Nothobranchius furzeri: one gene and its partners. The protein of the gene in region 4 purifies or fractionates together with the protein of the main gene of each other region. This does not show direct contact. Links are inferred from orthologs where the notes say so. Each region holds a gene or a part of one and is shown on either strand. Other genes may lie near its edges. The genes, in order: etv5a, etv1, etv4, cop1, det1, trib2 and rbx1.

What was found.
Region 1: the proteins of cop1 (region 4) and etv5a purify together in Homo sapiens (affinity purification with mass spectrometry; 6 studies listed by BioGRID and IntAct, counting the BioPlex papers as one, with this or other methods). This does not show direct contact. The link is inferred for Nothobranchius furzeri from reciprocal best matches to the Homo sapiens genes COP1 and ETV5.
Region 2: the proteins of cop1 (region 4) and etv1 purify together in Homo sapiens (affinity purification with mass spectrometry; 4 studies listed by BioGRID and IntAct, counting the BioPlex papers as one, with this or other methods). This does not show direct contact. The link is inferred for Nothobranchius furzeri from reciprocal best matches to the Homo sapiens genes COP1 and ETV1.
Region 3: the proteins of cop1 (region 4) and etv4 purify together in Homo sapiens (affinity purification with mass spectrometry; 5 studies listed by BioGRID and IntAct, with this or other methods). This does not show direct contact. The link is inferred for Nothobranchius furzeri from reciprocal best matches to the Homo sapiens genes COP1 and ETV4.
Region 5: the proteins of cop1 (region 4) and det1 purify together in Homo sapiens (affinity purification with western blotting; 11 studies listed by BioGRID and IntAct, counting the BioPlex papers as one, with this or other methods). This does not show direct contact. The link is inferred for Nothobranchius furzeri from reciprocal best matches to the Homo sapiens genes COP1 and DET1.
Region 6: the proteins of cop1 (region 4) and trib2 purify together in Homo sapiens (affinity purification with mass spectrometry; 4 studies listed by BioGRID and IntAct, counting the BioPlex papers as one, with this or other methods). This does not show direct contact. The link is inferred for Nothobranchius furzeri from reciprocal best matches to the Homo sapiens genes COP1 and TRIB2.
Region 7: the proteins of cop1 (region 4) and rbx1 purify together in Homo sapiens (affinity purification with western blotting; 3 studies listed by BioGRID, with this or other methods). This does not show direct contact. The link is inferred for Nothobranchius furzeri from reciprocal best matches to the Homo sapiens genes COP1 and RBX1.

What each region holds. Positions count from the first base shown.
Region 1 is NC_091754.1:36,794,264-36,798,404, forward strand, and holds the start of etv5a (ETS translocation variant 5a), read right to left. Parts: upstream 2,801-4,141; 5' UTR 2,666-2,800; intron 1,715-2,665; exon of another isoform or gene 1,582-1,714; intron 1,490-1,581; 5' UTR 1,418-1,489; coding exon 1,370-1,417; intron 1,278-1,369; coding exon 1,181-1,277; intron 1,110-1,180; coding exon 1,062-1,109; intron 673-1,061; coding exon 622-672; intron 1-621. UniProt on the Homo sapiens protein: Binds to DNA sequences containing the consensus nucleotide core sequence 5'-GGAA.-3'.
Region 2 is NC_091745.1:64,421,082-64,423,729, forward strand, and holds the end of etv1 (ETS translocation variant 1), read right to left. Parts: intron 2,039-2,648; coding exon 1,817-2,038; 3' UTR 501-1,816; downstream 1-500. UniProt on the Homo sapiens protein: Transcriptional activator that binds to DNA sequences containing the consensus pentanucleotide 5'-CGGA[AT]-3'. Required for olfactory dopaminergic neuron differentiation; may directly activate expression of tyrosine hydroxylase (TH).
Region 3 is NC_091756.1:48,943,716-48,947,215, reverse strand, and holds part of etv4 (ETS translocation variant 4), read right to left. Parts: intron 816-3,500; coding exon 686-815; intron 1-685.
Region 4 is NC_091751.1:60,919,457-60,922,956, reverse strand, and holds part of cop1 (E3 ubiquitin-protein ligase COP1), read right to left. Parts: coding exon 3,426-3,500; intron 3,268-3,425; coding exon 3,159-3,267; intron 3,049-3,158; coding exon 2,967-3,048; intron 1,584-2,966; coding exon 1,467-1,583; intron 860-1,466; coding exon 742-859; intron 1-741. UniProt on the Homo sapiens protein: E3 ubiquitin-protein ligase that mediates ubiquitination and subsequent proteasomal degradation of target proteins.
Region 5 is NC_091744.1:82,952,409-82,956,602, reverse strand, and holds the start of det1 (DET1 homolog), read left to right. Parts: upstream 1-1,394; 5' UTR 1,395-1,562; intron 1,563-1,999; 5' UTR 2,000-2,023; coding exon 2,024-2,278; intron 2,279-2,395; coding exon 2,396-2,662; intron 2,663-2,735; coding exon 2,736-2,948; intron 2,949-4,194. UniProt on the Homo sapiens protein: Component of the E3 ubiquitin ligase DCX DET1-COP1 complex, which is required for ubiquitination and subsequent degradation of target proteins. The complex is involved in JUN ubiquitination and degradation.
Region 6 is NC_091742.1:22,438,211-22,442,311, reverse strand, and holds the start of trib2 (tribbles homolog 2), read left to right. Parts: upstream 1-1,301; 5' UTR 1,302-1,531; coding exon 1,532-1,801; intron 1,802-2,147; exon of another isoform or gene 2,148-2,274; coding exon of another isoform or gene 2,275-2,289; intron 2,290-3,070; coding exon 3,071-3,363; intron 3,364-4,101.
Region 7 is NC_091752.1:65,786,479-65,789,617, forward strand, and holds rbx1 (E3 ubiquitin-protein ligase RBX1), read right to left. Parts: upstream 2,013-3,139; 5' UTR 1,955-2,012; coding exon 1,877-1,954; intron 1,196-1,876; coding exon 1,117-1,195; intron 1,041-1,116; coding exon 970-1,040; intron 817-969; coding exon 731-816; intron 647-730; coding exon 634-646; 3' UTR 501-633; downstream 1-500. UniProt on the Homo sapiens protein: E3 ubiquitin ligase component of multiple cullin-RING-based E3 ubiquitin-protein ligase (CRLs) complexes which mediate the ubiquitination and subsequent proteasomal degradation of target proteins, including proteins involved in cell cycle progression, signal transduction, transcription and transcription-coupled nucleotide excision repair.

The DNA of each region.
Region 1 (4,141 bases), on a different chromosome or scaffold from region 4:
GCACGTGAGCTCCCCTGAGCAGTAAGTAATGGTGGATGGATTAACATCCTCCAGGTGAAAGCAAAGGAGCGCTTCACTGTGCCTTAGGGTAATAAATCATGTGTTGGAGAAAAGGCCCCCCAGCAGCACCAGACGGTTACCTCAGCGTGAACCCACAGCCGCTCACTACCTGGAAGAGGGCTTGAATAGAAACAAGCACAGACTTGAGAAGCTGCAGGGTTGTTTGAAGCCTGATAAACCACACTAGCCACACCCCATCTCCACCTCCCACCAATCAGACCAAAACATAAACTAAAAAGTAAGAAGCAGCACCGGACATGACTCTCCGCAGGCTAACGGTGTGTAAAGCAGAACTGTAACAGCTCTAACTACTGGCACGTAGCCCAATCCAGAGGCAGCGCAACGGCAGGGGCCGAGTGCAAAGGAGTGTGAAATCAGATTAGGAAGTCGGCTCATGTGATGCTTCATGTCAATCGGTTGATTAAACTCAAAATGGGGGAGAATGAAAGGAGTGAAAGAGCAGGCTTTCCCTGAGCTGCGGTCCGACCCGCAAATCCGGACAAGGATGGTGCCGAGGAGGTAAAAATCAAAGAGGAGGAGGAGGAACAATCAGGTACTCACAGTTTTCTGACTGGAAATCTGGAACAAACTGTTCATCATCAGGCACCTGGGCTGTGAAGGTACAGACAGGTGTAGAAAACGTCAGGAAGACACACACCAGCACCGACGCGCGTGTGTGTGTGTGTGTGTGTGTGTGAAGCAATTGAAAAAAGATCTCGGTCAGCACTTTGTCATCAACAGGACTTTGCTCTTCTTGCTCCACTTGCCAGCTGAAAACAGCGGCGTCTGATATTCTCACAAAGTTAAACTTTAAAGAGGTCAAAGTTGCTCAATTTCATTTAGTCGTGAGCAGAGAGGATCTCTGTACGAGCTGCCAAAAGCACATCTAGCTGCGGCCGCTCCTGTTCAGACACAACCGCTCTACTGTCGCATTTACTGCACAAAAAATTGGAAGCTTCTGAAAACCAATGATGAAGAGCGACAGAACATGCTGATCGTACCTTCAGCGATCCAGATCTCTTGCAGCTGACTGAGGTCTTGGAACAGTTCTGTGGGTCAAAAGATGTTGATATGATGTCACGTAAAGAACATGAACCCGTGTTTGAGTCAGCCGTCTTACCTTCTGTGTCCTGGGCAAGCTCCGTCTCCACAAACTTTCTCTTTCGGTCATTCAGGGACGAGCCGTGAGACGATTCCTCCACATGCAACTTCTGCTGCTGGGAAGTAGCAGAAGGAGAAACGTCAGGTCACAACCTACAACAGAGGATGTCACCCCCACCCTCATGTGGTGACAAGTGCGTCCACTTACGCTGGGTGGAACTATAAAAGGGACCTGCTGGTCATAGAAGCCGTCCATGGTGACTCTGGAGGGGTTCTGGTACTAATGGGAGAGGAGGGGTGTTTGTTTTAAACCGGCACCGGTAAACTCCTGTGAGAGAACAAAGAAGAAAAGTGTCACCTGACTCCACCGGTACCTTTCATCCAGCAGCACAGAGAAGAGTCGAAGAAACTCCAGTTCACCTTGACATGAAGCCCGAGTCCTCACACTGATCTGGCCTCGTTACACAGGAATGTGGACGTGGAGCTGCGTCCCACTCTGATGCTACAACAAGGCCACCATCATCCCCCCTTATTTAACCTACCAACACGCCTGTGAACCGAGGCACATCCAGCAAACATCAACACACAGTCATGCAGGATCACACAGGTTACATAAGCAGCACTCTCCGGCCATCTGCTCCAGCTATGGTCTGCTGTAATCAGCTGGAAGATCTGGAGTGAAGCACTTGGAAGAAGCGTCCCACTGAGGAAACCGTGCCATCAACTGCATCACAAAGCCTCTCAAACAGAAAGAAGCCGATCAGAGAAGCGATTAGTGCTTTCAACAGGCTTGGAGCTATTGTTGTGAGAGTGTTACACTTGGCTCCCTCTCCCCTCCGCTGCACATTTCTACAGGTTTTCTTTAGAAACACCGAGCTGAGGCCGCTCCTCTCCTCTCACAGCTCACTCAGCAGAGTGACATGACTCACTCCTCTGTTAATGAATGACCAATAAAGAGTGGCTGCTGGGCAAATAATTACAGGCACCACTTCATGGAGCTCCATGCACTTATTATAGTCCAAACTCTGACCAGCTATAGCTCCAAGCAGATGCTGCTTAGGTTTTATTTATGCGTTTTATTCTAACGATGTAAAATAATTAGGGTCTTTTTAGACTGAACCACTAAAAATGCATAAAGAGCAACAACTTTATGGACTTTTTAGATCCGAGTCCAGATAAAAGAAGCTGCACCACTTTGGCCTGGGCCGAAGTTCAGCCAGCCCCCCCACCCCCAGCCTCCCTTGTTTTTGTCAATGAAGTGAAACTCGATCCGTGTGAAGCCGTGTGCGGTGGGGGTGGGGGTGTCGATGGCTCTCCATTCATAAAAATCACAAACAGGCTCCTGACAGCGCTGATGGACGGACAGCAGCAGAGCCAAAGCCGTTCAGAGGGGCTCACTAAGGGCTTAAAAGCCACTTTCTCTGTAGTACTTTGGTAGTATTCTTAAACTGTACTAAACAACAGTGTAGTATTAAAAGCCTGTGGTAAGAATGGTGAAACTTACCTGGTTATGTGAATAAAAACCTCCTGAACACGTCAACAGTTCGCTGTAAATATCCACAAACAAAAGCGTCGCCTGCCGCCGACACACCGATGCGTCTCCTCGGACTCACTCAGCTAGACTGAGCTTTTCCTAAACCCTAACGGCCCGACGCTTTCCCTGCGCGCGAGCAGCACGCAGAGACACGCTGTGATTGGCGGATCCAGTCTGTCCGTTCAGCGAGCAGCCAATGGCGCGGTAGCTTTTAATTTATGCGCGAGGCGCGGTTCGCCCAATCACAAGGCAGTGGCGTCCCTTTTTATGAATGGTTGGATTTCATTCACATTTTTTTTCAATCATCGCTGCTTGCTTGTGTTTGTTAAAGGGCCAGGAGCCGAGCCAAGGCTACACGTCAACACCCCCGACTCCCTCAGCTCCAGCACACGGACAACAACCCTGTAGCCGAGAGCTGGCGGTTCAAGCAGTCCTAGGCAGAGGGTGTCATCAATGACACCAAAGTAGAAACTAAAGTATGTCACATCATCCCCGGGATGGGATGAAGAAGTACTTTAGGTCATACTTTTACTTAGTGAACAGCTTTCACTCACTCACTCTGGTGTTGTCAGTTATCAGGAGGTGGAGGACACCCTGGACATGTCTACAGTGCATCACAGGGACACACAGAGACAAATGAGACACACTCACTCATACCCATTAAGGTCACTAATATGCAGAGGTGTGACCAAGTCACTGCTTTGCAAGTCACAAGTAAGTCACAAGTCTTTCCAGTCAAGTCTGGAGTCAAGTCCAAGTCAAAGACAACCAAGTCCAAGTCGAGTCCAAACACAATGATTTTGAAGTCCAAGTCAAGTCCATGTCCTTAACTTTTGAACTGAATTTTCAAGTCATAATCAAGTCATCTGTCCAACTTCTATTTAATGACAATGATAATAAATAAATTCCAGAAATAAAGCTTCTTAAAGCTTCTTTTATTTGCTCAAACAAGCAGAAACTGATTATAAACAAAGAGCTGCTGCATTTAGCAGACCAAGATCACACCCAGAACGAACAATGATTCATGATTCTTGCCCATGTCGTGCCACTTTTGTGCTAAAATATCAAATATGCTCAAGTCATCATCAAGCCAACAGATGCAAGTCGATTCAAGTCGCAAGTCATTGGTGTTCAAGTCCGAGTCAAGTCGTAAGTCTTAATAGATTTTATCAAGTCAGAAGTCATTTAAATAATGACTCGAGTCTAACTCGAGTCCAAGTCATGTGACTCGAGTCCACACCTCTGCTAATCCTGGTCAGTCCCCGGTGGTGAAGAAGAAAGGATAATTTACACAGCGCCTCTCTAGACAAAAACCACAAGGTGCTTCACAGAACAATAAAAAATAATGAAGAAAAAATATCATCATCGAAAATGGGAGAAAAGGAAGAAAAATTACGATTACAAATTAGAACAACATTTTCAAAATTAAAATACAGAAATGACAGA
Region 2 (2,648 bases), on a different chromosome or scaffold from region 4:
CTTAAATTAGGCATTGATTTTTCCTCAGGTGTCATTTAGGTTAAACACTTTGTGGTTTTCTCTCACAACTAAGTAAAAATGGGCAAGAGTCCATAATCTGTTTGGTCTACATGTAAATTTGAGAAGTTAAACTTGTTTTCATATAAAAAAAACTAAAGAAAATTCAGAAGTTTTGGAGAGAATATCTCAGTAAAAATTATTCACGTGACTTATAAAAGCAGTGAAAGCTACAAACAGTAATAACAGAGTCATTCGGTGGTGATTAGTGTAAAAAAATATTTGAAAATGGGGCATAAATTAGGTTTTTGAAACTATTTTATTACAGAATGTTTCTATTTCCAATCCCATTCCGCACACGTTCGCCTCCAGAATACATCCAACCCCCCCGCCACCCCCCACCCCCACCCCGACAGACCAGACTTGTTTGGATAAAAAAATAAAATAAAAAGAAACAAAAACAACAACAAAATCCAGGAAAGCAGGCTGAAACTGCTGGACACTTTCATTTTTTTTTTTTTGGATTTTTCCCCAGACTCAAAAAGAAAATACACTTACAGACTGAAGCAGCAACAAAATGTGCATTTACCTGATTATGCCATGGTACATAACAATTTATTTTAACTCACCACATTATAAAACTCTAAATAATTCCTCTTTTTGTTTGACCAAAAACCAACATATTAATTGCAAAAGCGACAGTAAAAAAACAAACAAACAAAAAAACAAAACAAAACAAAATTTACACTTCATGTTCACCAGGAACTGAACAGAAAAAAGTTCACAAAAAATATAGACGTGTAGTTTTTCTTGACTTTTATTATTTATGCTAGTGAAATCAATTGGTTTTCATCTTGTTTTCTGTTTTAGGAATGCAGATGGTTTCCTGACTTGATCCGTTTCAGCTGTACAATAAACATTCCTCTTATTTGTTGTATAAAAAAACTGAACACAAATGAATTTCTGCTGCCGGAGTGTTTTTCAACCTGAAGCTTCCACGATGCTCCTGATCAAACGTGTGATTTGGGATAAAGTCTGGGTCTCCTCCGAACATCCCAGAGCATCCTCGTGAATCAAAGTTGCCTCTTTACCGACCCACGGGTCATTTTTTAGCAGATGAGAGAACGATCCGGTGGAGTCTGTGTTGTTAAAGAGAAAAACACCAACAGGTTGAGATCTACAGTTTGATTGTGTGAGGGTCGGAGAGCACTGATGAACCGATGCTCAGCGTGGAGGTGAGGCTACGTCACATGACACGTTGGTAATCTTAACCGTGAAAGCGATTTTACGCTTTCAGTATTGGATGTCTGTGTGATGGGAAAGCTAAGATTCCTCTGTGGATTGGCTCCAGGTGGGTGGATGAGATGCTTTCTTTTGCAAGAGGTCAAAGTTTGAGGAATTTGGCTTTTTATTGGCCATAAATTAGCTAATGAGTCCTGTCTCATTGGGGTGGCGCATGCTCCAAATGAGACAAATAATAAAAGAAAAAAACAAAAAAAAAAAACAGATTTCCACAGTAGAAACATAAAGAATAGTAAAACGCCAACCACTCTGACCCTGGTAGGTTTCCACCGTGTTCCTGTCCGTAAAGTGCAACTCTCTGGACGTCAGAAAGACAAGAGCAGAATACAGAATATGTGTGTGTGTGTTTATGTTGAGTTACGAGGAAGGGAAGTGCCACCGTGTTTGTGTGTTTTCAGTCTTTATCCCAGAGCGACTGTGAATCAGAGGACATGACAGTCTCGGGTGTATGAAGGAGGCTGGACATCACGCTCGAGTGGAGACGGGTATTCGGGTGTGTGTGTTGGTGGAACTGCCGTTAATAAACATAGCCTTCGCTGTAGGGATGCGGTTGGCAGTAGGGCCCCTCCTGTACATAGGCCATGTTTTCGTCAAAGTGTGACAGCGGCACCGTGTCCTCCTCATTAATCTGACGCTCCACGTCCGTCTTCAGCACCGGCCGCTGATTGTCGGGGAATGCCATGGAGAACAAAGCCTCGGGGTCGCACACAAACTTGTAAACGTATCTCTCACCCGCCACCTGAAAAACATGTTCCATTTTATAAATCATCGCATTGCTCATCATTTGTATTAGAACTATTTTAAAAACAGCACCCATGCCGGGCCAGCAGGTGGTGATGATCTGATTAATCAAAGATTTATATAAGATGAGAAAAGCTTTATTACACATGGTTCATCATTCTTCAAAAACAACCGTAGCCTTGGTTTTAATTTTACTTTCTTACACTTTTTACGTTCTTATTTAGCTTGCCACGCAAAGCCAATGTTTACCTCACAACGGGTTCGAGGTAAAACTGGACAAATATAGAAAAATAAATTAAAAAACACAACAGATGTGGAGGTTGTTATGCACGGCGGTTGTGCAAAATGGATTACAACATCAGGGTTTCCTTGAAGACCAAGTTAACTCGTTTTCTCAATAAATTTGCAGTGGTCTTTAGTGTAAACATAGATGATCATTATGGGGACAAAGCTCTCTCGCACCCGTTTCAGGAAGTAGAAGTTAGCCAGAGGAGAGTCTAGATGAAAACAGCAGGATTTGGAGTCTTTATTTCCTGGAACTTCAACATCTTGCCAATGGTTAGCTAATAGCAAAGCAACTCTACCACCGACTCTGTTTGCTTTGCGGT
Region 3 (3,500 bases), on a different chromosome or scaffold from region 4:
GAAGATGAGTCAACAGGAAGTTGGTAAGTAGATAATAAATATAGTCATATCTGATGTTAGAATTCTTAGGCGTTTTCCTGTAGGGAGCACTTACGACACTTATTATGGTAATTTGTCTCCAGCATTACAGGAAGTGTGGTAATTTACCGTTTTACTATTAGCTTGCTTTTCTGAATGACTCAATAAAGGAAGTAAAACGCACCAATAGACTCATTATTCCCTTCACGCATACATTTCACTGTAATATTGATTTGTTGGGAATTGAATAAGTAGCTTGAGATATTTTTTGACACAACATTTGCTTCAAATCCACCATTAGCATTGTAAGCTCAACGTTAGCTGATATTAGAGTATACCGTGTGGCTTCTTAGGGGTTCAAGAAATAACTTCTGGGTCACTCCTGTTTACTGGCTTTGGTTCTTTAAACCACTCTGGAGCTTTTTGCTTGTTGGTGTTGAAATACAAATGCTTGCTGAAGATTCGGCAACCTCACAAACTCTTAAGAGTGTAAAAAAAAAGTTTATTTTTCTTCAAAAGGATAAAAACAGACAATCCCACAGCCAGCTAAGAATAAAATCTGTTTCAGTATACCCTTCCTTCCAACATGATATTAGACTGTTTTGTGATTATTTCACTGTAGAATTTTTATAAATCGCACCTTTAATGACCAAAAATGAGGGGGTACCTGGCATAAAGGCACTGCTCTCCACTGGGGTAGTTGAAGTTTTGTTTGTGGCTACAGGACTGGCTGGGGTCAGATCCTGGACTCTGTGGTTCCTTCTTGATAGTGACTGGAGGACTATGAAACGCCACTGCTGCAGGAGACAACAAACAGAAAGCAGACGTGAGCAAGATTCCTTTGTGATTCAGCCCTGCCCTAATACTACCGTCAGCCCGAGTCAAAACTAAATCTCCTGTCTGTGCAGGAATGTGTCTTTTGTGCCAACCCAAAATGCTTAAGCGACTTTCAGCAGCAGCACAATGCAGCAGACAGCCACGTCTAAGACACAGTTGCATAAACACAGACACAAAAACACACATGCTTTCATTGCACACAACTGCATTCCAGCAGTCATTTGAAAGTCCAAAGCCTCCTTCCCACACTTTTCTTGGCTCTTCCAGACACAACAGCAGCTAAAATGTTACACCTTTGTAGTGTACGTTACACCTTCTTCAGAAGAGCATACGGGGCTTTGCATCACTTCAGCGTTAACCAAGGAAATCTAAGGATGCCACAAACATTTTAAGTATCTAATGTTGACCCAAAGGAGTCCACTTAATCTGTAACATATTGAAGTGTCCATCAAGCTGGACTGCTGGAGGGGACCTTTGCCTTGATGGCCACAGAAACCACCCAAAGTGGAGCTTCAAACTGTGCAGAGGGCTCGTGTTTATTATGCGAGGGGAGGTTTTCACCCAGAGAACTGTACAGGATGTTTTTCTGGTCCCGACAGGGTAAACAGCAGCAGCTGTGCACTTCCAGCTGGGGAGGCATGCCTTCATGTGAGCGTGCACGTTGTGTTAGCGTCATGAAATGTTAGCTTGTCTGTCTTTGCTTGATTGTGTGTGTGTGTGTGTGTGTGTGTGTGTGTGTGTGTGTGTGTGTGTGTGTGTGTGTGTGTGTGTGTGTGTGTGTGTGTGTGTGTGTGTGCAGTGGGTGTGGCGCTAACAGAACAGGCCACACTGAAAGCACAGCCCAGGTAATTACATAGCAGAGTCGTCCATTCACAAAAAGACGAGGAAAAAAACGTCTGGCTCGCTGAACAAAACACAAAATGGCTGAGAGGTAGAACGTGAGCAAAGAAAACTCCCTGACATTCACAACATTTTCTTGTTTTTGTTGCCAGAATTACAAAAACGCAAACGCTTGCCAAGAATTCTACTCCATTTTGCTAAGGAAAACTTTTAACATTTGATTTAGACTTTCCCATTTCACTTGAACCTGTTTAACATCAAAACTATAAACACATTAAAGTGACGAGAGAGTCATGCAGCTTCCTGCTTTTGGTGTGTATTCACTCTCCCACGGCAGGCAGGCAGGTGAGGAAGTGTTGGATTTATCCTGGGATCAACAGGATTAGAGAGCATTTACCCAGATTTCCCAGACAGACGTGGTGGGGATTCCGGCCTCCTCCGAGTCGCCGACAGACCGTCTGCTGGTGCACACGGAGGGTGGCACATGACCACCACTCTAATAATACAACCGTGTTTGTCTGTTGACGTTCATCCTGTTCTCAGGCTTGGTCATGAACTACAAACAATCCTCATAGAGCATGACGAGCCACTGCTGGTGGGGTTGGCATGAATGAGGCTTTTGATGTGGCGATTCGTGAGGATGTTCTGATGTCACTAGATTTTCTGAGGGGTTTGTTGATGCATGCAGTCAGTTTGCGCATGCGTGTTTGTTAGCAAAAATATCTCAAGAACCACCAGATGGATTTTATTGAGGGCCTTTCAATTTATTTGCGTATTTTGCTCAAAACATTGTAATTAATTAGCTCCACTTTCACGTGACTTCTGCTTTTGTAACATTTTATTAATTGTTTTAATCATCTGTTAGGACAGTATAAATGACGCCATGTAAACCTTTCTGTGGAACAAAGTTTCGTGCTCCTGTTTCGGGAAGTAGACGTTGGTTGGAGAAGTGGAAGGTAGAAAACGGCAGGATTTAACGCATTCATATTCATGATATTTAAATGTATAGAATGTTTGGCTAAAAGCAACATGACTTTACCACTGCTGTCATTTGTCTTTGTTCTTGGGTAAAAAAAATATAACAACGTTTTATCTGCATAAACAACAAGCCTGGAGGAAAGAAAGAAAAAAGAAAACAAACATTTATATAGCGCCTCTCAAGATAAAAAATCACGAGGCGCTTCACAAAACCAAAAAATTAAATATAAAAAAGATTTTAAAAATGATTAAGGACACATTTAAAATAAGAAAAGAATAAGTAAATAGTGATTAAGAAATGTAAGGAAAGGGAGAGAGAAAATGAATAAGAAAAAAGGAAATCAGTGAATCCTGGGAAAGGCAGAATAGGTAGAAGAGCAGCATAAGGAGAGGGTGGTGATGAAGGTCACACCAGAGCCAGCCTGAACAGGTGAGTTTCAGCTAAAGGAGAAAAGCTGCTTTTTAAAGGAGACAAAGAGTTCTGCCGTGTGGTTGTGCTGCTAACGCTAACGGTTAGCTTCTACTAGCTGACTTGTGCTCTGTTCTCTCCGGGCTGCTAAATCATTATCAGTCTTCCGCACTTGCACCCACGGTGGGTGAGTCCATAAATCCAAATATCTCTCTGTGACGTAGAAGGGAATGTTTTTTCTGATCCAACCGCGGGTCTGTGGCTGAAAGGGAGAAGGGGAATGAAGAAAATGTTTAACCTGCATGTGAAACTCAGGGTGACTGCTTGTGTTTAAAAAGAACAAAATATGTTTCTCAGTTAACTTCCTCTTACAAATGATAAATTAGAATAAGTGAATCCACAGGGAAGTTTAAACATT
Region 4 (3,500 bases):
TTCAGGCTTCAAAATCAACCGGCTTCTTCAGGCTGACGCTGATGGACGCTGTCAGCGCCAGCCTGAAGAAGCCGGCAGCCGTCGGCGAAACTGTAGCGTCAATAACATGTAACAAAACCGTTTCTGTGTTTTAAAATAGAACGACGACATGGAATTAGAAATAACGCACAGCAAGAACACACCTAAGATGTTCAAAGGGCTAGTTTGTTGCTAATTTGCAGGAATTATCTAGAAGAAAGTTGCTAAGGGTCCTCAGAAATGTAGCTAGCTTTGTCACGAGGCGTTAGGAACAGCGACAAAGTCGCTGAGTTGGCACTACCTCTCTCTCTGCTGCTAAAGCTACTGATAGCATCAGTGTCTGGTTTGATGGTGTCACTTTTGTGAAGCGTATTTGCAGTCCTGGACTTATTTTCACACAAAACCTAAAATAAAATGTACCCCCGTTCAAAAATAAGCACGTAATTGGTATAAAAAAACGCGTCTTTAAAATTCACGGACACCATATGTGAAATCCATGGAACATAGCAAGCGGGATGAGAAAATAGGTTTTTAGCCCCGCTGACTTGCATCTTCATCGTCGTTCTTCTGGGGACCCATGGTCTGGAAGCAGATGGGCGTGACTTAGGTTCCTTATTAATGAACATTTGACTGCATTAAAATTACAGTTAATAATTTCTGATATTCACCGTTTTCAAAATAAATCCCAGTAAAAACGGCTGAAAGTAAACCTAAGTGACTTACGCAGAAACAATCTCCTCTCCGTTTACAAACTTGGCGTAGGACACGGCCTTCCTGTGGCCTTTGAACACCATGATTGGCTGCTTAGTGTTGCGAAGATCGTAGTAGTGGACGCAGTGATCTAGAAGCAGGACGAGTTAAAAATAAACAATCTGGGGCTTTTATTCTTGTAACACAGTAAAGTTATGATGCAATGTCTTTGCTGCTTTGTGCTGAAGTTAGCGTTTCCAATAAGAAATGTTCCTTCTTTCCAAACTGTTTTCAAACTGAAGTTTTTCTTCCTTGAGCGACCACTCCAGGGTCAGGAGGCGGCTTTCTGCCAGTGGACCTCAGACACACACGCTGAAGTGTCAACGAGCCTGGACAACTCTCAGCAACAGAGTTCTGCTCCGCTTGTTTTAAGCTGTTATCCAGTGTTAGTGATGGGAAATACTTTCCTTTGCATACCTGAATATTTATTACAATTCTTATTCTCCTGTGGGGTACTAATGAACAGAGTTTTCAGAAGTTTGTCTGGACCACCAGAGTCAGCATAACCACAGATGAAATTTAGTATCTTCAAGGGGAAATAACAGTGGTGGGAGGTGAGTACCACAATAATAATACATCAAAATGAGAGAGAAACAAGTTTAAAGTTTGCCAACATTACACAAACACATTATTCAAGAAGGAAAACTTTTGTTAGAATCAGTTTGGAGTGTTTGAACAAAACCAGTCCTCCGTCTTACCCGCACAGCCGAAGGCCAGATGATATCTGGAAGTTGGGCTGAATTTAACACAGCAGACGTTAGCTTTAGCCTCGATGCTAGCCACTGAGTTGTTCAGGTTGGTTGACCACAGTTTAACTAAAGAAAAAAAAACAGGTAAACAATATAAACACTTTAGATAAAAAAGCAGCGGAGCCCCATGCTAAATTTATACATTGTTGATGTTTTTTAAGTTTTTCTGAGGGATGCTGTGAACCGATCACACGATTTAAACAGGGTTGGAATCAGGTGGAAAAGATCAGATTTACCCGTATAAAACAAAAAACACGACTCTTTAAATTCACTCCGAGATAGAAATTTCTTAACTGGCTGGTGAAAAAGTCTGTCGTTTGGTGGTATTTTAAACCAGACAGCTGGAAAAGCAAATCACCTGCCTCCATTAAGTCTGATTAACGCCGAGGACACACCGGCCGCCGAAGCGCCGCGAAAAGGGGACCGCCTTCATTCGGCGCCCTTGTTATCCTATTCTGTAGACCACATGGGCTGCCGAAGCGCCGGCGCTCCAGCCCACGCCGTGCAGCGATCGTTTTGGCGCCTGCTCTATTTTTTTTGCGAGCCGCGGGTGAACCGCGTCAATTTTGGCAGGAAGTCAAACCTAGACATGAGGCAGGCCGGTAAATTTAACAAAATAAAGCATTTCAAAATACAATTCCGTGATCGTCAACTGTGTTCGTAAACAGACACTGCATAAAAACCACACAAACACACACACACAGCGAACTTGTGTGTGTGTGACCACGTGAAGGGGGTGTGGTTTTGGGTGTCTTTCAACCGGAGCAAACAGGACAGAGAGGCAGAAAGACGTAGGCCAGCTATTAACAACCGGTTCACACCATAGGTTCTCACACACACACGTACAAACACACATACAAACAGCAGGGGGGAGGGGGGTGTAGAGGAAAAGTGCAGAGAAAAGGCAGAGAGGAAATGGAGGACACCAAGTGGTTAAAAGAAAAACTACGAGGCGCGCCTCGACCGGAGTGGAGAAACAAGCGTCTGGTCTGAACCGAGGCCAAATTTTGTGAGCGCTTCGCCTCCTGGCGCTTCGGCGGCTGGTGTGTCCCCGGCCTTACACTTCTCTGTCTGTGCTGAGTCACGCAACGCCATTATGCGTCGCTGCAAGGGCTCTTCAACAGGCTCACAGAGGGTGTTGGACACATGCCCAAATTTTTATATATCCGTCAAAAGTGACGGAGACCACAAGCTTGTGATTGGCCAGGATGCCACTTCCTTTAAATTTGTCAACGGCCCCGCCACTGCCCCCTCAAAAAGTATAAAATATATACTTAGCTGCAGACACAGAACAGATCAAAGAACGCATCGCGGAAAAAGTCCGAAAATATGAGCGTTTATTGACTCGTGACTGAAGGGGTACAATAACAGTACATGTGCAAATCTCCTTTTCATTTAGAACTCTGGTGGTCGAGAACCCCAGATAAATCATATGAAATCCTCTTTTACCTTTAGCATCATCAGAACCCGAGGCTAGGAGCTTGGGGTCCATCAGGTTGAAGTCAACACTCCAACATCTTTTCTCATGCTCCTAAAAATATGGAAGTCAAACTTCAGAAAACCGTCACAGCAAAAATATTCATAGTTATAATAAGCAGAAAAAAACCCAACATCATGTAAAAAGCTGTGCATGAGTCACACCTGGTACACTTTGGACCGCTGCCCACTGAATCCATCCCACAGAATGACGGTCCCTTCATAGTCGCTGCTGGCCAGAAGGTTCTTGTGATAACTGCTCCAGCTGATACAGCTGCAATGGAAGATGAAGTATCATTTTGATATGGAAACTCAGCAGATCCTCAATTTGAGATAATAAAATGTCATTTGATGAATCACTGCCTAAAGTGTAGGGTACTGATCTGATTAAAAGCTAAAACTCAGTTCCTCTTGAATTCGTTTATTTTTTACCTGATTTTGGAATTGCACGTCATTTCATTGACAGGGTAGTGGATGTCTACAGCATCCTGGATCACCGTTCCATAC
Region 5 (4,194 bases), on a different chromosome or scaffold from region 4:
GGTTCACATATGCTGCATGCTGTTATAAACAAATCAATTAAACAAATTACGCCAAACAAACGAGGCTGTCATACACACTGTAGGTACAGGAGCCGAAGGTCGGCTAATGTTGTTGTTTTTGGTTTTTTTTTTTTTTATTCTTTCCTGGCTGTTTAGTCAAAGCAATTATAATCATATTCAAAGTTTTCCGGGGCACTTGTGCGTCTCACCTGCTAACCCACCCACTGATCAGTAAATTGGCACCTCAGTGAGAACAGCAGGTGTACGTTTGCCCCAAATTTTGGCCACAATGAGGCTTTCCTCAAAATGAATCCCACTGCAATTACCCACTTGAGTTCAGTAAAATGGTGCACAAGCATCCCTGGATATTTGGAATATATTAGTTTAGAATAATAGAGAAAACTAATTTTGGTCATATTTTATTGTCAATGCAGGTATCTGCTGGCTGTGTTCTGTTTTACTTTGACCTTATTTACAGCAGGTCTGTGCGCAGAGGTGGAAAAAGGTGTGGCAAGAGATTTCAGCAGGGGGTGGAATTTGGGTGTTAAATGTCAGATTTCTGTACAAATATACATATAAAACAATTTATATTAAATACAAACAAATAGTTTCTCCTTGTTTACATATAATCTACTAGTAGTTAAATGTTCATATGTTGTGAATTTTATTAATTCTGGCATAGTAATGATGCTTTCTATGGGACATGTTGATAAAAACCCACTAAAGCCTGAAACATTAAATTATTATTAAACCTACAATTTTAAAGACTGAACTATTTATTGTCAAATATTAACATAACAGAATAATGATTGTGTCATTCTAAAACAATATAACAGTTTTAAGAAATTAAATTGGCCCTTACCACCTGTAAATCTTCCACCAGGGGGCAGTAGACATGTTTTGGCCTGGATATGGCAGGTTCCTGAGGAAGGTACTAATCCTGATGCTCCATCTGGACCCTATAAGACTAGTGTGAAAATATTACATAAGACCAAATAATATATAGTACGTATTGTAATTAACAATGTAAATAAGCAAAATTACTTCTCATTATTTTATAATTTCATGATGTGAACAAATTTCTATCTATTTTCATTAGCCCAAAAGCTTTTATTTTCAGCATTTTTCGGTTACCTATGGAGCTTTTCTTCTCTACAAATATAACTAAACTCAATTAAAAGTCACAATGAAATGTAAAATGCTATCAATCCTTCTGAAACTACCCCTCCTTCCTTTATTTGAACGCTTTCATCAGCTGACGTCTCCACTTCCAATATGGCGGATCTGCTGACGCATCACTGCTTCCGTTTGAGCCCTCTTAGCTAGAGACTGCAGTTTCATATTTCGCCACTAACGGAGGTGGCGCTGCAGCGCTCTGCTCGGTTCTTTTTCGCTTTCTTTTTCAGCTTTCTCAACAACAAACCGAAAGCGCATCCAAAAGCGCAAAAACAGCCTGGAAAATGTTAATAAACCCGATTTTTGTTTAGTTACAGTTTGACGTTAGAGGCTAAATGATGCTGAACGTTTACGTTTGATGAGAGAAGAAAGCCGAGGAGCGGACGGTGAGTTATCCAACTTGAACAGCTGTTTAACGGAACATAACTCCTAAATGAGACTTTTGTTTGCTGGGATTCGGTCAGAAGGCTCTGTTTTAGGCTCTAAAATAAAAAAGAAGAGCTGTAAACGTCTCGGTATTGAGATATATCACAGAGCAGATCATCTGTGCTGATGCTGGTGTGAAAACTACGCTGAAAGATTCTGATCAGCTGTTCTGCTTTCAGAGCCTCCTTCACAGTTTGACACATTTTAATTTGTTATATTATGAAATATTGTATTTTGGCTAAAATCACGTGAAATAAAACATTTTTCTCTTTAAATTGTCGTGACAACATGTCATAAAACCCCCAAAAACATCAGATGCTGCAACATCTTGAGCTCTACCCTCTCACAGGTAATGTGATGACCCCCCCCCCCCCCCCCCCCCCCGGTTTATCTACAGATGGACGTTTGAAGCCATCCCTTAATGTCTGCGATGGAGGACACCCCGACTTTAAAGCCCAGGCACATCCAGAATCAGAACGTGGTCCATCGTCTGGAGAAGCGGCGGATCTGCTCCGGTCGACCCGGATCTCACTGGTACCGAGTCCGCTGCTTTCACCAGAACCTATTCCCTAACTTCACCGTGGTCAACGTTGAGAAGCCACCGTGTTTCCTCAGGAAGTTCTCACCAGACGGGCGCTACTTCATCGCCTTCTCGTCTGACCAGACGTCCCTAGAGGTTTCATTCTCACACCATCACGAAACACATTTTTGTCTCATCATTGACAGATTCCCTTTGTTTATTAAGTTTACCTGAAACCAGAACCCAAGTAAGAGCATCTAAATGCTTCTGTAGATCTATGAATACCAAGGCTGCCAGGCTGCTCAGGACCTTCTCAGAGGTCAAGAAGGAGAAACACTTTCAACCGCCAACGACCAGCGCTCCCTCAACATCCGAGGCCGCTTGTTTGAGCGCTTCTTCTCGTTACTTCATGTCACTAATGTGGCCTCAAATGGAGAACACCTGAACCGGGAGTGTAGCCTGTTTACAGACGACTGCCGCTACGTCATCGTCGGGTCGGCGGTTTACGTCCCTGAAGAACCACAACCGTACTTCTTTGAGGTAAGATTCCTAGTTTCTTATTGGTGGAAATCTGTTCGCCTGCTTCTCGTTCCCACGTTTGTTCTCCCACCAGGTGTATCGCAACAACGAATCAGTGACCCCCAACCCTCGGTCTCCTCTAGAGGACTACTCTCTGCACATCATCGACCTCCACACCGGCAGGCTGTGTGACACCAGATCTTTTAAATGTGACAAAATCATCTTGTCTCACAACCAGGGGCTCTACCTGTACAGGAACATCCTGGCTGTGCTGTCGGTGCAGCAGCAGACCATCCACGTGTTCCAGGTGAGCTCACCTCCACCATGCACTCTGTAGTGGAGGTTGTTGTCATGTGAGAAGATAAAAGCTGCGCTTCTGCCGGTCTTTGTTCGGTGAACCCTACTCCTTCGTTCAACGACAGCATTCGCAGCCTGAAGCGCCAATGCAGAAAAGTTGAGCGTTTGTGGAGGAAAACCCATCTCCACGTCCATCTGCTGCACCTAAAGGATCTTCTGACATCCTTTAACTCTGCAGTCAGAGACGCGAGGGTTGTCTATTTCTCCAACCTGGTGTCCCAGAGCAAAGGGAACCCCAAGGTGCTGTTTAACACCATCAGCAGCATCGTCTCTCCTGCCTCTCCTACAGCCTCCATCCACTCTGTTACAGACTGTGAGAACTTTCTGTCTTTCTTTGTGGACAAAGTCAATAAGGTTAGATCTAGCATCTCTCCTTCAGCCTTATCGCCGCCTCTCCCGACTCAACCAGGCCCATCATCCTAGATGGCTTTGCTCCTGTTTCTTTGCCTGAGTTAACCAAACTAGTTATCTCTATGAAGACCTCTGCATGCCCCCTCCACATCTTACCCTCATCTTTGTTTAAAAGTGCTTTTCAGTCCATCGGTCCCAGCGTGCTCTCTATAATTAATGCTTCTCTGGTCTCTGGTCAGGTCCCTGCTTACTTTAAGAACGCTGTAATCCACCCGTTTCTTAAAAAACCGAGTCTCGACCCCTCTCTCCATAGCAGCTTCAGACCCATCTCTAAACTTCTGTTCATCTCCAAGATCTTGGAAAAGGTTGTGGCTAAACAACTCACAGCTGCTCTTGATGAACATAGCTTCTATGATAGCTTCCAGTCAGGTTTTCGTAGAGCTCATTCTACTGAAACAGTTCTTCTTAGGGTATCTAATGACCTTCTGACTCACAGTGATGCAGGGGACTGTTCTGTTCTGGTCCTGCTGGACCTGACTGCAGCCTTTGACACTGTTGACCATCACCTGCTACTGGAGAGGCTGAGAGACTGGGTCGGCCTATCAGGATCTGCTCTGGAGTGGTTCTCCTCTTATCTTTCTGAGCGCTCCTTTTCTGTGGCCGTCTCCAAGTTTAGGTCCTCCACCACCTCTCTTACCCATGGTGTCCCACAAGGTTCTGTGCTGGGGCCTCTGCTCTTCCTCCTCTATCTGCTTCCTCTTCAGCACATCCTGAGCTCCTTCAACGGAATCTCCTACATCTTTATGCAGATGACATCCAACTGTACATCTCCTTTAAGCCCCATG
Region 6 (4,101 bases), on a different chromosome or scaffold from region 4:
TAGAGGTGGCCATGGGTCCAGAGAAAGGTTGAAATGCTAAATTGATCTTCAGGGCCACTCTGGGAAAGTGTAGTGATGCCATAAATGCTCTTTTATTCGTTTTCATGAAATAATAATAATAATCGTACTACTACTACTACTACTACTACTACTAATAATAATAATAATAATAAAACATTATTTGACTCTGGTCTTCTCTGGGTGTGGGCAGTGGAATGGCCAGCAATTTTCTACCCTTGGCCACCCCTTAGGAGCGCCACTGGCGGCTGTTTTCTGTCTGTTTTCATGTGAACTAGCAAAATCACGCGTGATCTTGCAATTCATTCATAATTTCGCGGGACCAGCTGAGTGGGACACATTCGCAGATACCAGTAGAAAAGAATGCGCCTCACATAATAATCTCTTCACTTTTGGCATTAGTAGTTTGCAAATGTTGTTATTTTTGAATATAATAAACATGAGAAACACGAGGCTCACCAAAAGCCAATGTTGACGTCTGAAGCGGGTGATTATATGCTACACCGGCGTGCCTTACCCCACAGAGCGTGTAACCCCCCCTCCCTCCTCTGTCGGCAGCGATGGTTGGCAGGAAGGCAGCCTGCTCCCCCCGAACAGGCGCAGTGAGATCGGTGTGTGTGTATGTGTGTGTGTGTGTGTGTGTGTGTGTGTGTATGTGTGTGTGTGCAGCTCGGCTCCGCTCTGAATGGACTAGATTCCCGGCCACGTAAGAAGCACAGCGGTACCACGGGAGAGAGGATGTCCTGCTGAATCAAGGGATTGGCCTGGGAAAGTCGGCCGGCCGTCCCTTCCTTCCTTCCACAAGCCTTCAGCAGCATCCACACAGCTCTTCATTTTTCTTCCTTTTGGACCAGACGGAGGAGAAAGAGTGTTGACTCCCGCACACAAAGAGCCTCGGCAGCAGCAGCAGCAGCGGTCTTTCCGGATGGGGCTTTCTCCTTGTATGCTACATGACAATCACCGTGCACGGACGTAATCCCGGGGAACAAGGCCGTGCACTGACCCGGCGCTCGTTAGCTTTGTAATTAGCTCGGGAAACCAGCTTAATTGGATTTAAGCGTGTGCGTTTTTCTCGTTTCCCTCTCCTGAATGCCAGGCGGTGTCCATTTTATTGTTTCCGTTTTATGAAACGTGTCAGACCGTTCACCGACACCGGATAAACTAGCGGACTCTCCATTGATTCCCGGAGCTAACTTTTGATAGCCTTTGTCTAGCCTGCTTCTTCCCCCTCCTCGGTGAAGCCGCGCCGCGCTGGTTGAGCACTCAAGCCGGGGGGAACGTTTTATTTAATTGATCTCACGAATGTCTAACAAAGGAGGAGGCAGATGAGCATCGGGGGGGAAATAACACCCTTTTTCGCCTGTTGACGTCCTCTAACAGCAGGTTGCAACACATACACAACATTCGCATTTTGAATCTACTTCATCGAACTCCCCAAGTGAAAGGTTAGGTAAAGCGGTGCTGTGCCCGAGGGGAAGGCTTCAGTCTGCAGGAGGCATCGCACTTGTTCCTCATGAACATACAGAGGTCAAATCCAATTAACATTTCGCGTTATGGGAGATCGCGACACAAATCGCACGATTTTGAGGAGTTGTCTTGTTTGAGGACTACAGAGTCGCACCAGAGCTTCAGTCCCAACCTCGGCTCTCCCAGCCCGCCGGAGACCCCGGACACCTCGCACTGTGTCTCCCGCATCGGGGACTACCTTTTGTTGGAGCCGCTGGAGGGGGACCACGTTTTCAGAGCCGCCCACCTGCACAGCGGGGACGAGCTGGTGTGTAAGGTGAGCATGCAAACCCCCCCCCCCCCCCCCCAAAATAGCCACCTGAAAAACAAACGAGCAGTTTCATGCATGTTTTATTCTGGAACCATATTTTATTTTTGCTCATTATAGCCGATCTTTATGCACATCACCCGAAAATGTAGCTGAAGCAGAATAAAAGTGCAGACTTGGATCCTCCAGAGCGGCTGCCACATGGACTTTTTAATAATTGCTTGAATTGTAAATAGAGAGCTGGCAGAGCAGCCTAATGGAAACAGTGAATGGGGTGAGCTGTGTGGTTTGGATTGCATGATGTAACGTTGACAAAGGAGTGAGTAACCACGCGCACACACACACACACACCTCCGAGCCATTCTGGCTTACCCAGTGGCTTCTCACTGTCAGCTACAATGCTGGAGTCATTGATTCACCTCTGGATTTAGATTTATGAACCGAGTCGTGCGTTGCACACTTTGGACCAATATTCTCGTGACATGCAATCCTGCATGGTAAGTTAGAAAGGAAGCATTTATTTTTTCAAATCCACTGAACCTTGCAAGGTGGACTTTCGCTACCACATTTATACGATGTTTAATCATCTGTGCTGCTGATAATCAGGGTGGAGGTTACTTTGGAGAATCCCAGCCATAATCTGATGCACGTTGACCGATTCATTGAAACAGCTGCACACACCCTTGGACCCATAAAAGCCTGACATTTCCGGTAGCCGGCACCTTTCTGACTTGAGGTAATGTTATGTCGTTGCCGTGACAGGCGCCCTGCCTTATGAGCTAACTGCTGTTTGACCTCGTCTGCTTTGCGTCGACCTCGATACCGCAGCAATCAATCCCCACTTCCCGGGATTGATTATTACTGTCAGGCCGGCAGCTCGGGTCTCTCATGAGTTAAGATCTCGAGACCTGTGGGGTGTGTTTTTTATCGACTGCAGGCAGAAGGAGCCCTCTCACCTGAACTGGTTGTACTGAAAGTCAATTGGGGGTTGCTATGGAAACAAAAGAGGTACTGCAACCTCAGGCTGCAGCACAATGCCATGCAGTAGTATGATGCTACTTACTCCCTCTCCCAAAAGGAGTAACTCTAGTTGGCTGCTATGAGAGGGACTTTCTGTCCTACAAGGAAAATCTGAAATTCTGTCAGCTGGAATTTTTGTGTCCGCAACGGGGAAGGCGAAACGTTTTGCAGAGTCATTCTTAGATCTCCAACAACAATATCAGGATTCTTACTAAAGAGAACTGTTTCTAATTTGAAATCGTTTGCTCTCTTGTGCAGGTGTTCGACATTGGCCGATACCAGGAGTCGCTGGCGGCCTACTTCGCCTTGGGCCAGCATCAGCACATTAACCAAATCCTGGAAATTCTGCTCGGGGAGACGCGAGCCTACGTGTTCTTCGACAGGAGCCATGGCGACATGCATTCTTTTGTTCGCACCTGCAAGAAGCTGCGAGAGGATGAAGCTGCCAGGCTCTTCCACCAGATAGCCTCGGCTGTGGCACATTGCCATGACAACGGACTGGTCCTCCGTGACCTCAAACTGAGGAAGTTTGTCTTCAAAAATGAGGACAGGTAAGTTTCGCGGAAACCGTTAGGGCCGCTGTGCCTGGTGGCTTTGTTGTTTTTTTCCGTTTGTACATTCTGTTCAGTGAAATTTCAATGGCGTCTGTGTGATGTCATAGCTCAGCTTACACAGAGGATGTTGTAAACTGAGACTGTACAAGAGAGACGTTCCTTCTCTCTCAAATGCTCTTTTGTGTGTGTGTGTGTGTGTGTGTGTGTGTGTGTGTGTGTGTGTGTGTGTGTGTGTGTGTGTGTGTGTGTGTGTGTGTGTGTGGTTTATTAGTGGAGATATTGCACACACACACCACATATGTAGATGAAATTACACGGGTGTCATCTTCACCCCCATAACTCGAGACCGGCACTGCCGTTGAACCGAACAGCGCGTTCAGATAAGTTACCTTACCGGGACAAGCCGACGATCACTGGATGAACCAGAACCCCGTGCTTTCACAATGCAAGTTCTGACCTCTGGTGGCTGCTATTAATACCTGCAAACATAGACATCTGTTGCTACAGCAACCTTCTTATTTTAGATGCTAAGTAACCTGTTTTTATCATTTTTGATCACTGCCATGTGCAAACACCTGCCGTGCGGCTCCACAGATGCACCGTGTGCTTGTTTGGGAGTGTGGTGTCATTCGTTGGCACATCCAGTGGAAAATGGAAGTGGAGCTGCCTCGCATATTTAGTAGAGGTCCAGTAACCTTCAAAGCTTTTAGACTGAGATGCACGCCTCCTCTTTAA
Region 7 (3,139 bases), on a different chromosome or scaffold from region 4:
ATTAAGATATGAACGTTTCTACAGCCATTTAATACGTGGTTTAACCTCTGTCTGTCTCTGAACACAGCCGAACTCTCACGAGCGTTGGCATGTTTTGTTATTAATCTGTTATAAATGCAAATAAAAGGATGTCTGTCTCACCCTGTTGGAAAAATATTCACAATAAAACTATTTAAAAACATTTTGTTCCATTTTATTGGTTTTTAAATTAATCTGATTATTAAATAAACTAAATTAAATAAGCATGTGAGTTATTTCATTATTCAGGCGGTATGTGTAGTCCAGACGTTTAATCCAGCTGTGCTGCTTGTTTTGTAGCTTGAGGATTACAGCCGTGTCAGATCTCATGTCATTCCACGTGGCTGTAGATGCTCGTGACTTTCGTCCCAACACAATGTACCTCATGAACTAAACTATGAAGGTGCATGGTTGAGCATATCATGTGCACTTAATCTAGTTTTACGACTTCAATTCAAATGTGATTACATCCTCCTGAAGACTGATGGTTTTACAGTTTATTGAATTACAACATAGCAAAACATGTAAAATAACATCTAGGTATATGAGCAGGAAGCAAAATGGAAAGTGAAAGGTTGATGCTCGCAGAAGCCAAGGAACAGGTCAATATCACAACTAGTGTCCGTATCTGCGAAAGAAAAAACGAAAATGTGTTTGAGTCAAGCATCAAACAATCCTCAAAATCATATATGCATTAATGGATCCGACTCACTTCTGAAACTCCCACTCCCTGTTGTCCAGGGGACACACCTGTCTGGTCTTCAGCCAACGGGAGATACAGTGGAAATGGAAGGCATGCTATGGAAGGTAAGGAAATGTTTAAACGACTGGATAGCAGTTTAACAAAGATGCAAAGACTGAAAAATAAGTGATCTGCACTTGTAGAGTGCCTTTCAGAGTCAAATGACCCATATCTATCATCCTACTGAAAGTTGCACCTTAGAAACTCACATTGCAGACACCCCAGGCCACAGTGCACTCTTCTGAGGTTGCAGAAGCTTGGTTGGCCTGGCACTCTATGCCTGATGAAGGATGAGGAATTGTGTAAGAGGGCTGCCAACAACTCACATGCAATCAAACACCCCTATGTGAACTTACACAGATCCATGATGTGGTTCCTACAGATAGCACAATTATCCACCACTATGTCCCAGGCCCACAGTGCAACAGCATTCCACTGGAACAAAAATCACATTCTGTTCATAGGAAGGTAACTTAAAATGAAGGACCTCATACCTGGAAATAAAAACCTTAATTCTATGGCTCATTGTAGGGTCTCTGACATTCAGTACTAATTCAAAGTTATCTTACAAATAAAGTTTTTCAACCTTTGATTAAAAAATGCTTCCATGGACACCTCAATCTAGAAAAGGAGTTAATTAAAATCTGATTAATAAAATCCTTCTCTATCAGTACCGTTACTTTTAAATTATGTAATGAATAGGAGAAAAAAAACCTTGTCATCAAAACTACTTAACATTTTATCCTGAGGAAATGTGACAGTCATTTAAATACTTTAAATCTTGGGAAATTTCGAGATGTACAGCTTAGCTGACTAAGCTAATTTAGCATGTAGACTAAGAGATTAAAGAGGTATTTGTCCATTTTTAAATCGTGCTGTTATTGTGTAACTACTGAGAGTTTATCATCGCTCTTATTTCTCTACAAGTTCTAGTTTAGACTTTAAGGCCATAAACAGAATAATGATTAATTATTTCTTGTAGCAGGCTAACAGCTAAACACCGATAACGGTGTTTAGCAAGCTAGCGTTAGCTAATGTTGGGCTAAACCTTTCGGCGTTGCTGACAAAGTGCACCGTTTAGTTTAGTCAACACAGACAAACTTTCAACTATCGTACCTTTTTCACTTCAAAGCGCTTCTTGCTTGCTCCACTATTTGTACCGCTTGGCGTGTCAACATCCATTGCTGCTGCCATTTTGAACTCTCCGGAAGCGTTTATCTAAGTTTTACCGGAAAATAGCGTCACTTCCTGTTCGACCAGATTAAGCAAATTTTCGAAAGAAAATATTATTTTCTTAATAATTTTTGAAAAAACAAAATCAGGTTGTATTTCTGAATTGTTACCGTTGACACTCTTAATATTTGAAGAAGTATTGGTTAAAAGGTCAGGTTCCACCGAGATTTGAACTCGGATCGCTGGATTCAGAGTCCAGAGTGCTAACCATTACACCATGGAACCCCTGCTTATTAACATTTCTCTGTAAAGAATTTGTTAAATCAATAGCACATGTATTGCTTTTATTCATTGCTTTTACACACCCTTAATTTCTCATGCAAAAAAAAAAAAAAAAAACTTCTCATGCTGTATAGAAAGGTGTATCTATCTGAGCTACACACTGCGTCATACTCATCACACTACTGTGTACCACACACTCCCCTAGCTACAACGCTGCAAATGAGCGAGAATGGGGAGTTGACGCCCTCCAGTGGCAAAAGACCAACATAGCAGACATAACCTGTAACATAATAGAAATGCGGTTCTTTATACTGGTTGTTCTTTGTATATAATAAACTTTTAATTCAATTACTTGCAATCTGTCGTTTTATTTGATTGACCTAAATAATGCAAATAAATATATCCATCAGAGTATTAAAACACCTGCGTACTCAATCCTTTAATTTGCGCTCTCTGCTGGAGAAATCGGGTTGCTGCAGGTACTACATTCATACAACTTAAAAATTACGATTTTTAAATTGGCGTTAAAAACACAGTTAGTATAAAATCGGAAAATACACAATAAAACAATTTAACTAATGAAACTTGATAAATGTATTTCAGTTATTCGTGTTAAACAAGATTAAATCAATAGGCTAAAGAAGCTAGCTATCAGCCCCACAAACATTCGATTATACGCCCACTGGCGGCCACAGGGCAAAACTACATCTACGAGAGGACTTCATTTGCTTCCCATTTGGAAGCATGGGCATGGCTGGCTTCGCTAAGATTTAGAGGGATTTTTATTCATTTTAAAAATGTAATTCTTAATAGGTGATATGAGATACATATATTTAGGTACTAATATTTTTATCAGCATGAGTTTGTCAAATCAAACCCGTCTGATGTAAAACTATTAGTTCAAGACCAATAAACACCCAACTA